2 linked regions of the Mus musculus genome follow. The protein of the gene in region 1 binds, or shares a complex with, the protein of each later gene. Links are inferred from orthologs where the notes say so. Each region holds a gene or a part of one and is shown on either strand. Other genes may lie near its edges.

Region 1 (5,149 bases):
ATGTGCTGTATAAAATAAATCTATAGAATTTTTTGTCGGTTTCCTAGAATAGGTAGGTATGACTCAAATTTAAATATTCCAATTATATTACATATACTTTTGACACAGACATTTGTCGAATGAGACAAACATACATTGGGAAACACCAAACTTATGAAAAAAAAACATGCAGGAGAAAAAATATTTTCTTCTGAGTGGGTCTTAATTGCCCCTTTTCCCCCTTGCAAATATATTTTTATGCTGAGTGACATTTCCAAAATAGGATTTTCTCTCCATTGCTGAAATGAAGCAAACAAGTTTACTTTCAGAGTCACAGAAATGCCCAACTGTTACGAAAAAAGAAAGTGTTTTCCACTGGCCCCTTGCCTGTCTTTATCCTGGGCAGTCTTGCCTGTTGGCTCCTCCATCTAGGAAGGCCCCTGGGGCTGACTGGTGGAACTGATTGTAAAACTATTTTGTGCAGTAAGAATTAATGTCTTCAGGCTCTGAGACCACCCAGAACATGACCGATCTTTGGCAACTGTCTACTGTTTTCCCCAGTGCTGGGTTCGCTGTTTGCTGAATAACTGACCCTGGTTTCTGACTATCTGAGAAGATATGAAGGGTGTATTTCTTCTAGTAGTTTGTTATTTTAAGATGAAAGGAAGAAAAAAAATCTCTTATCACAAACCTATGAAGAATTCATTTTTACCGGATTATGTTCTGGGGATACAAGAATTCAAGAACCAAGGGAGGCCATCGATTCATCATATAGAGAAAAATTTAAGGGAACAAGTATTTGCTAGAGGCTTTCATGAAAGACTGTCCCTGGGCCTTTGGCATCAAGCCATCCTAGGATGGTAACCATCTCTAGCGACAGAGGTTGTGGGCATCTCGCGGTAAGGCTCACATTGGCTAAGGGAGGCAAAAACTCCTGCGGAGCAGGCCTTGCCTCTTCTCTGCCTGCTACTTTCCTCTCTACTAGCCCAGTCTCTAGACACTAGATGCTCAATAAATGCGGACCCAAATCCGTCACTGAGCCCCAGCGCGTTATTATGGAGTGAGCGGGTTTATCCTGACCCACTACCTCCTCACATCTGCGGAGGCACCATAGCTCGACTAGGGGCTACACCTCCAGCCGCGAAGGAGAACAATCGGTAAGGCGATCTGCCGGAGACACGACCCAGAGCCCGAGGGACCAGGAAGCTGGAGGCTCAGGCCCAGGGCTGGGGACCACCTGACCGCCGCGCTGGGGTTGACAGGAGGCGGGCCGGGCGCGCGAGACCCGCCGGGGTGGGGCGGGGTGGGGCGCAGGCGCGCGCCCGGCCCCAGGCCCCGCCCTCCCCAGCCCGGCACGCTCCGGGAGCCGCGGGGGGAGGGGGACCCGAGAGTGGGCGGCGCCGCGCGCGCGCGCCCGCTTGTCTGACGCGTCCCGCGGGCATGCGCGCCGCCCCCGCCCGCGCCGTCCCCGGGGCCCCCGGCGCGCGGCCCTGCTGACGTCAGCGGGCGGCTGGCGGAGCGCTGCGCAGGACCAGGCGCACTCGAGAGCTGCGCTCGCCTCGCCCCCCCCCTCCCCGCCCGCCCCGGCGCGCGCGCGCGTGCCCTGCCCTCCCTGCCCGCCTCTTCTCGCGCTCCCCGCTGGCCGCGGCTCCCTCGCGCTCTCCCCGTCTCCTGTCCGCTCCGCCGAGCGATGCGAGTTCTGGGCCCCGGCGACGCCGCCTCCCGCTAGAGAGAGCTGCACCCCCCACCCCCGGCCCGGCCCTCTGCCCAGCCCTGCCCCGCGCGCGGGGGTCGGAGAAGGCGCCGCGGACGCATCGACGGCCGAGGAGCGGCGATGCACATGCACTAGCGGCACCCCCTAACTCACTCCCTCCACACCCCGCGCCACCGCCGCCTCCACCTTCTCCGCCTCCGCCTCCTCCTCCTCCGCCTCCGGCAGCCGCGGCAGAAGGACCCACCCTGCCCCCCACCCCACCCTCCGCCGGCTCCGGCTGCGGATCCAGCCTCGACTCCTATTTTATTTATTTTGGGTCGTGCACTAGCCTCGGTGCCTGCAACCCGCGCCTCCCGGGCCCGCGGGCGCCTCCTCTCTCGGCTCCGGAGCCCCAGACCCCGGCTACCCTCACCTCGACACCCCCAGACCCCAGCCAGCCGCCGCTAATCTTCGCCGCTGGAATCTTAATAGAGGCTGTCCTTTTGGGGGGATTCTGGTCTTTCGACAATTTTGTTCCCAGCCAAGGAGAGGATATCGTGATTTTCTCCCCTTTGAGCCCAGGCTCTGCTCTGTGGGGGGGTGGGGGGCGCGCCGACCCGGGGAGTCGTGCCAGCCTAGTCGTGCGGGCTGTGGCAGGGAAGGGGCCACCATGGGATGTACGCTGAGCGCAGAGGAGAGAGCCGCCCTCGAGCGGAGCAAGGCGATTGAGAAAAACCTCAAAGAAGATGGCATCAGCGCCGCCAAAGACGTGAAATTACTCCTGCTGGGTAAGGACCTGGGTAGCCACCCCCGCCCCTCGACCCCCGCCACAGTTCCCAACCCGACTTGCGCCCTGGGAAATCTGGTCCCTGAGTTGGCAACACCTTGTGCCCAGGAGCGCCCACCCTGTGCATGCCTTGAAGCCCCCTTCCCATTTCCATGAGCTGACACTCACCAGTTTCCCCCCCTCTGTGTGTCCCAACAGGGGCTGGAGAATCAGGAAAAAGCACCATTGTGAAGCAGATGAAGTAAGTCCCTGTGTCATTGGGATTTGTACTTTTATTAAGAATAATTTATATCGTTTTTATTATCTTGCTCACCCATATTTGCTCTCCAGGCCTGGTTTTTAATTCGCGCACACACAGAAGAAACCCGAGGTTGCCTCCCCTCCCCCACTCCCTACGTTGGTTCTGGGTCCCCCACCCCAACTCCTGGGGTCGGTGTTTGCGGGGAGGGAATGAGAGCGCCTCTAGTTGTATGAATGACAGTGTCCGCCATATTGATCAGAACATCACACTATTGGCGTGCTTATGATCATAACTCTTGCTCGTGGAGTATTTCGTGTTTCACTGCCTCCATTTCTGTCTCTGCCTCATCTTCTTTCCCCTCCTCCTCCACCCCACCCCTCGAATCCCACTTCCCCCTGCTTCTCTTGAGGCAGTGATTTTGAACTTGACTAAAACATGGAGGGGACCCAGCCCTAGCAGATTGGGGTGGAGGATCAAGTGTTTGCTGTTCACGAGTTTGGTGCTGAATTCCTGGTGGCTGTGGCTTAGACGACCCCCCCCCCCAAAGCGAGCAAGGGTTAGGGGAGGGGGCGTGCACTGGGGAGAAAGGATGGGTTTCCAAGCGGATGTGACAGACACAGCCTTATCCAAGGCAGAGGTGGGAGGGTCTGTGGGGCTAAAAGCCAGTTTCATCTGCCCTCCAGCCCCTCTCCTCCCTGGCCCTCCAGCCTTTGCTCTTCTGACACCCGCAGGTTCCAGTCACTGTGTAGCCTTTATCGTTGTATTTACACTCTGTATTCTACCTTCAATGCGGATTTCAGGCCCTACTTGCCACCGCCCCCTTTCTGCCTTAGATATCAGTTTCCCCTCCTAATTAACTGGGGGTGGATTTGAGTGATGGTTGAAAATTAAAACAAAATGGGATATTCCTTCCTTTCCACATTTCCCCACTTAGGAGCCTCGCCCGTCCTTCCTCCTCTCTGGCTTGCTTCTTGCCCCATCCACTCCACGGTTCCCGGTGAGCCTCCAGGCAGCTCTGCCTGGGGAGGGGTGGCCGGCAGGGAACGGGTGCGTGCCTTCCGGGCCTCCTGGCCCTGTTTCCGTTGGCCTGTCAGTTCGGGACGGAGGAGTTCGTTAGGACCGTTTAGCGAGGATTCCATGTCGCTTTGCTGTGACACCTTCGTGCACACACAGCTCCTAATTAGAGGTTGCTGTGCTGTAAACAAAAATGATTATTTTTCAACTTGACAGAATAGCCGAAGTAATTGCATCCCGTAGGAAAACAATGGAAAATAAAAGCCCCTTTCGAGGGAAGGTGGGTGGGAGACAAATCGTGCTTGTGGTTTCAAAACCAAGAAGCAAAAATTCTTGCATGTGTAACAGGCATGACAAGCGAGTTCCAGGCGGCGCCATGATGGTAGGGAGCAGCGACTAGGAGACAGTTTCTCCCATCTGCTTGGCATGTTCTTATTTGCGTTCGAGAGCTCCCGGGGGCTTTCTTCTCACAGGCCCCTTCGGCTAGCCTCACCCTTCTGAGCCACCAGTAATTTGGCCTGGGGTTTCTCTGGGGCTTGTGCAGTCCAAATGGATGGGGAGGCGGGGCCTGGGGAATTGCTCTTTGCAACAAGGTGCATGTTGCATCTGCCTGGAGCCCTCGCGTGTCGGGAAATGCAAACCGCGCCACCTCTTTCTCCTTAGGGGCAGGTTTCGAAACTTCACAAGTCTGTAATCCACTGTGGCAGGCCGGGAGTCCGGTAGAAGCCTCGGCCTCCTGAGCCAGGGTGAGGTTTCAGGCGTTGTAAGTGGTGGACAGCGCCCAGCCGAGGCTGGAAAAGTCGATGGGGCTGAGCTTGGCTCGGCGGTGTTCGGCTCCGCTCGGCCTGACCTGGGAGCGGGGCTCGGAGGATCTCGACAGTGTTCGGAGCACAGTCGGGGTCCAAGCGGAGAGGGCCGAGCGGCTTCGGCGGCTTCGGAAAGGCCCCGAAGACATTCGGAAACCCTCGGCAGGAGGAGGGCAAAGGAGGTGGAATTGGGGGTGTGGGAGGGGATGGCAAAGAAACTTTGCATCCACCAAAGCAGCTTGCTACCTGCTCTTCCTGAACATGCCTCATAAATTAGGTTGATTTAATAAGAGGTTTAAAAATACGTATCGAGTCCCCAAAAGGGCAACTTGCCTTTTTTATTCAAAGAAAGCTTAGCTCTCTGAGGAGATCCGTGTGCCACTTTAGAATGGAAATTCCTGATTAAGTCCTGGGGCACGAAATCTTAAAGGAAGACTGAGGAGACATTCTGAGGAAAGTCCTGTGCGTCTGACTTATATTGGGTTGCACTGAGGAAGATGGGGTGAAGTGTCCGATGTTTGATTCTATTTAATCGGAAATCAGAACATTTTTCTCTTTTCCTGCATTTCTTCCTTTCTCTATTCCCACAAACACCTTTTCTGTGAAAACTGCCTGTCAAAACTGAGATT
Region 2 (4,460 bases), on another chromosome or scaffold:
GGCAGGACCGCCCTGAATGATCTTTATTTATTTATTTAAGGAAGGGGGTGTGGAGGAGATAATTAGCCAGGACTAGAGGAAACCTTGGTTCATTAACCCTTTGGCAGCCATGCCCTCTCTAGTACTGTGCTTGCTCTGAAGAGCTTGGGAGAGTCAGACTTGGGGATATGACAATATCATCAGGAAACCATACTGATCAGGGGTAGCCCACCAGGAAACTGGCTGTGGGCTGGGAACAACCACAACAACCAGCAAAAGGGCTCATGTGTCCCTCTCAGCCAGAACTTTACACATTGTAACAAAAGGTCTCAAAGGCCACGGAGCTCCCTCCCAGCTGGGTAGGTCCGGGGTTTCAGAGTGCTAGGGGCTGCATGCGTAGACGCACCCCCTCGAAGCCCAGGGCCTGCGTCTGACCATTGTCTGCACGCAGGGCAAGGCCCATGCGCTCACACGATGCGTTTTCTGTCCCCACGGCAGAGGATCTTCTTGAAGGCGCGTCGGAAGTCGTGGTTGAAGATGGTGTAGATAACAGGGTTCAGCGAGCTGTTGCAGTAGCCGAACCAGAAGAAGAAGTTGAAGAGCTGGCTGGGCACCGGGCAGCCGACCGCTATGAGCGTGTAGGTGAAAAAGAACGGAAACCAACACACCACGAACACGCCGATCACCACCGCCAGCACGAACGTGAAGCGTTTCTCCCGGTTTTGCCTCCCGCGCCAGCGCGACGCTTTGGCGCCCCCGCCGCGCTCCTCTCCGTGCCCGGACCCCGAAGCCCCCGGCCCCGCGGCCCCGGGCCCGCGCCGCGGCAGACTGTCCCCCGGCTTCACCTGACTCGCCCGGGTCTTGCCCTTGGCTCGGGGGCCGCGGTCGGGTCTGCGGGGCCCCGGGGGCCGCTCGGCGTGCTCGGACGACGAACTCTCCTCTAGGTCCAGCGCATCCCCATCGCGGGGCCCGGCGGGCGCGGGCTCCCCCGGGGCACCGTTAAGCTGGGTGGGCAGCGGCTCCGCCTCAGCGCCCGTGGGACCCGCGCCGCGCTCCGGGCCCAGCCCGTTGGGCCTGCGATCGGCGCCCCCCGGCGGCGCGGAACAGGCGTCCGGACCCCGGCGGCTGGGAGGCACGCGGGTGCGACGCTTGGCGATCTGGTAAATACGCACGTAGACCAGGATCATGATGAGGCAAGGCGCGAAGAAGGAACCGATGGACGAGGAGATGACATACCACTTCTGGTCGTTGATCTTGCAGCTTGGCTCGGCCGGCTGCTGCCCGCCGCCAGCGCCCTTCTTCTCTATGGAGATGAGTGGCGGGAAGGAGATGACAGCCGAGATGACCCACACGGTGACAATGATGGCCTTGATGCGACGCGGCGTGCGCTTCAGGTTGTACTCGATGGCCTGCGTGATGGACCAGTAGCGGTCAAGGCTGATGGCGCACAGGTGCACTATGGACGACGTGCAAAAGAGCACGTCGAGAGCCAAATAGATCTCACACCACACCTTACCAAAGTACCAGTAACCCATAACCTCGTTGGCCAAAGAAAAGGGAATGACCAGCGTGGCCACCAGGATGTCCGCTGAGGCCAGGGACACCAGGAAGAGGTTTTGGGGAGCTTTGAGCGCGCGACTGGTGAACACCGCGATAATAACCAGCACGTTGCCAAATACTGTGAACAGCATGAGCAGGCCAGCCAGGCAAACCAGCGTCAGTGTCACCTGCAGGGAGTAAGGGGTGGCTCGGGTGCCGCCTCCGGGCGCTTCGGTCCCGTTCCAGCTGCTGTTGCCGGCATCCGGCTGCAGTGAGCCCATGGGCGCAAAGCTGCCCTCGGCCAGCGGCTGCTCCTGGCGGAACATGAACGCGGGTGCTGGTTCTCGTGGGCCTGCTGCCAGCTGCCTTCCGGCCCCGCGTCCGTGGGTCCTCCTCTTCCTCCGGTGCGGGGTTCGTCCCGCCGCGCCTCACATAAGGAAGAGGGCCGCAGGGAGCTCGGGCCCAAGCTGGGGACCGCTAGTGGTCCATGGACTGGAGCCCGCGAACTGGCACCGGTTCGTCCTTCCGACGCTCCGGGTGGGTGCTTTCTCTCTCCCAGCTCCTCAAACACAGCCAAGTTTTATTTCTAAGCGGCAGGATCGAGTAGGGCCAGCTGGTGGTTAGAGATTTTATTCTTCAAGAAAAGAGAAAAGAAATTATCGGTGGCCTGATGATTTGGAAAGATGTCAGAAATTTATACAAATGCATTTAGCTAGTCATCTATACCTTGATTCTTAAGCTGAGCGAAAGCATGAAGTCTTACCCCAAGAGGCAGCGGAGGGGTGTTGGTGTGGGCTCGGAGTCCTAGGTCTGTCTTCTTATACCCTCGAAGAGATTTCCAACTCCGTCGCTACCCTCCAGGCGGGGTGGCGAGGGCTGGGCCGGACCTCCGGCGAAGGCGCGGACTCTGCCTCCTCTAGGAGCCCCACGGGACTTCCAAAGTTGTGCGCTCTGCTGGGGCTGGGACTCTGTACACAGAGCTCGGGGGCGGCGGCGGTGGGGTGAAGGGTGTGGGGGCCGCATGAAGCCGCACCCCCACCACCACCACCTCGGTCCTCAGGGCCAAGCTAGGTGAGCGACCGGCTCTCCAGGAGCCGCGGCGGAGCCAAGGGTGGCTGCTAGCCGCGATCTGGGTGGGCGCTGAGCGCCACAGACCCGGCGGGGGTCGGAGGGCCGCGTGAGTTTTCGCAGGACCGCAGGACTTGGAGCTGGAGGCGCTGGGTGGCTGGGCGGTGTGCGCCGGCTGCTGGGCGTCTGCACGGAAGCGGGAGCCGAGGCTGCTCCGCCGCTCTACGCTGGACTGGTTTTATAGCCCCAGGATGAAGCCGGCGTTGCCGAGCAGCCGGCGTCAGCCCCCACGTGGGAAGTCGACCCTCCTCCGCCCCTCGCGCCTCCCCTCCTTAGGTCTAGAGCCCGCACCCGAGTCGGACCCGGGAGAGCGCTGCCTCTGGGACCCGGCTTTTGGAAAGACGGGTACAGGGAGCGAGGGGCAATAAGAGAGAGCCTAAGGAGTGGGGAGCGGCCCCTGCTGGGAGTTGGCCGTTCGGCTACTAGCTGGCCCAGGAGACAGTAGCAGGCGCCCAGCGGTACACCGATCTAGCTGGGTTTTAGCAGAAGAGGGTGCCAGGGTGCTGGGACCCGAATTAGGAGATGCAGAGTGGCATAAGAGTCGCTGGCGAGCAGCCCCGCCCCAGGTCAAGCGCAGGTGCTTCTGGTGACTGGGATGAAAGGGATCCCGGAGAGGTAAGCGTGTGCGGGTTCCTAAGGAACCACTGGAGCGGAATGGACCAGCATCCACGAGAGCAGACCAGGCCGGAGTTATCCATACTTAGGGAAGAGAAGGCCTCCTATCCTAGCAGCTGCCGGGACTCTCAAGGCCTGGACTCTGCACTGCGCCCCTTTGAAAGGCGGTGGGGAAGGGTCCTGGAGGGGTAGGCCCTGAGCCATGACAGAACGAGAGCGCACTGACACCTGCTGGCCGCTGGTCGTCACGGCTGGAAAGCGACTTAAGGGCTCCAGGCTCCTCTGGAGTCCTTTCCTCCATTTTTCTCCTATCTTGGGGGCAAGTTTGGACTAAGCTGGGGCGGCGGGGGTGGGGGGGGGGGAGGGGACACGGACAGATTTCAAACTGCACTATGTCATGATGCAGAAATCTTCAGGTTGTATAGATCTACCTCTGATGAGAGTAAGGCTCGGAACCTTCTACAGATGTGAGAGTCCTGGATCTTCCTCTCTGCTTGCCTGGCTTTAAACTACTGGGAACCGTTAAGCATTAGTTGAGGCACAGCTACTTTATGAAGAGCGCCATGACATTATAGGTAGATGTAAGCCTTACGCTGTTTTAATCAGTACCTACTGTGTGCACGAATTAAAGTATTACACTGAACTCCACAAATGTATAGGATTATTATGTGTTTGTCAAAAAGGGGTTTCTGATTATGGAAATAGAAAAGTTAACTATCCTGACTTGGTCATTACATACTGTGTGTAATATTGAATTAACATACAGTATCTTACACATCTGTACAATTAAACGTGAAAGAAAAACATCTTATTAGACTCTATCCCCACTTACATGGCCTTTTCTCCTACACCCCCAATACACAGATAAGTACACACATCTGCACAGCATCTGTCGGTGAGGGCAGGGTGCTAGCCAAGAAAGAAAGGGTGTTTTCTATGTTCTCTCTCTGGTGAGAAAGGTAGGAGCTTGGCAGTAGATGGCAAGGTTTCTAAGCACTCAGGCAGGAGTATCTGTCGCACCAGATACACTGTGCCATCCGAACTCTTTCTTCAGACGAGCAGCAGGAAGATCACGGAGAACCAGAGAGCACAGAATGTCAACAGGGTACACACGAGACCTAAGAAAGCATCTGTCATACTTCAGAGATCACTACACCTAAATGTCACACTCAGTCATCCAAGCCAGGGTCCAAGGTCCG

Evidence for each region. The genes of interacting proteins can lie anywhere in the genome.
Region 2: the proteins of Gnao1 (region 1) and Adra2a are in contact, whole or in part, in a cryo-EM structure (PDB 7W6P), measured with the Homo sapiens proteins. The link is inferred for Mus musculus from reciprocal best matches to the Homo sapiens genes GNAO1 and ADRA2A. Residues at the interface, in NP_066268.1 of Homo sapiens: Ile28, Lys32, Lys193, Asn194, Leu195, Asp218, Phe336, Thr340, Asp341, Ile343, Ile344, Ala345, Asn347, Leu348, Gly350, Cys351, Gly352, Leu353, Tyr354; in NP_000672.3 of Homo sapiens: Arg77, Arg146, Ser149, Ile150, Ala153, Ile154, Asn157, Leu158, Arg160, Pro162, Ile234, Ala238, Arg241, Arg383, Arg386, Phe387, Val390, Leu391, Phe444, Asn445, His446.

Annotation. Positions count from the first base shown.
Region 1 is NC_000074.6:93,808,994-93,814,142, forward strand, and holds the start of Gnao1 (guanine nucleotide-binding protein G(o) subunit alpha), read left to right. Parts: upstream 1-1,844; 5' UTR 1,845-2,342; coding exon 2,343-2,460; intron 2,461-2,657; coding exon 2,658-2,700; exon of another isoform or gene 2,701-4,562; intron 4,563-5,149. UniProt on the Homo sapiens protein: Guanine nucleotide-binding proteins (G proteins) function as transducers downstream of G protein-coupled receptors (GPCRs) in numerous signaling cascades.
Region 2 is NC_000085.6:54,043,599-54,048,058, reverse strand, and holds the start of Adra2a (alpha-2A adrenergic receptor), read right to left. Parts: upstream 2,801-4,460; 5' UTR 1,845-2,800; coding exon 447-1,844; 3' UTR 1-446. UniProt on the Homo sapiens protein: Alpha-2 adrenergic receptors mediate the catecholamine-induced inhibition of adenylate cyclase through the action of G proteins.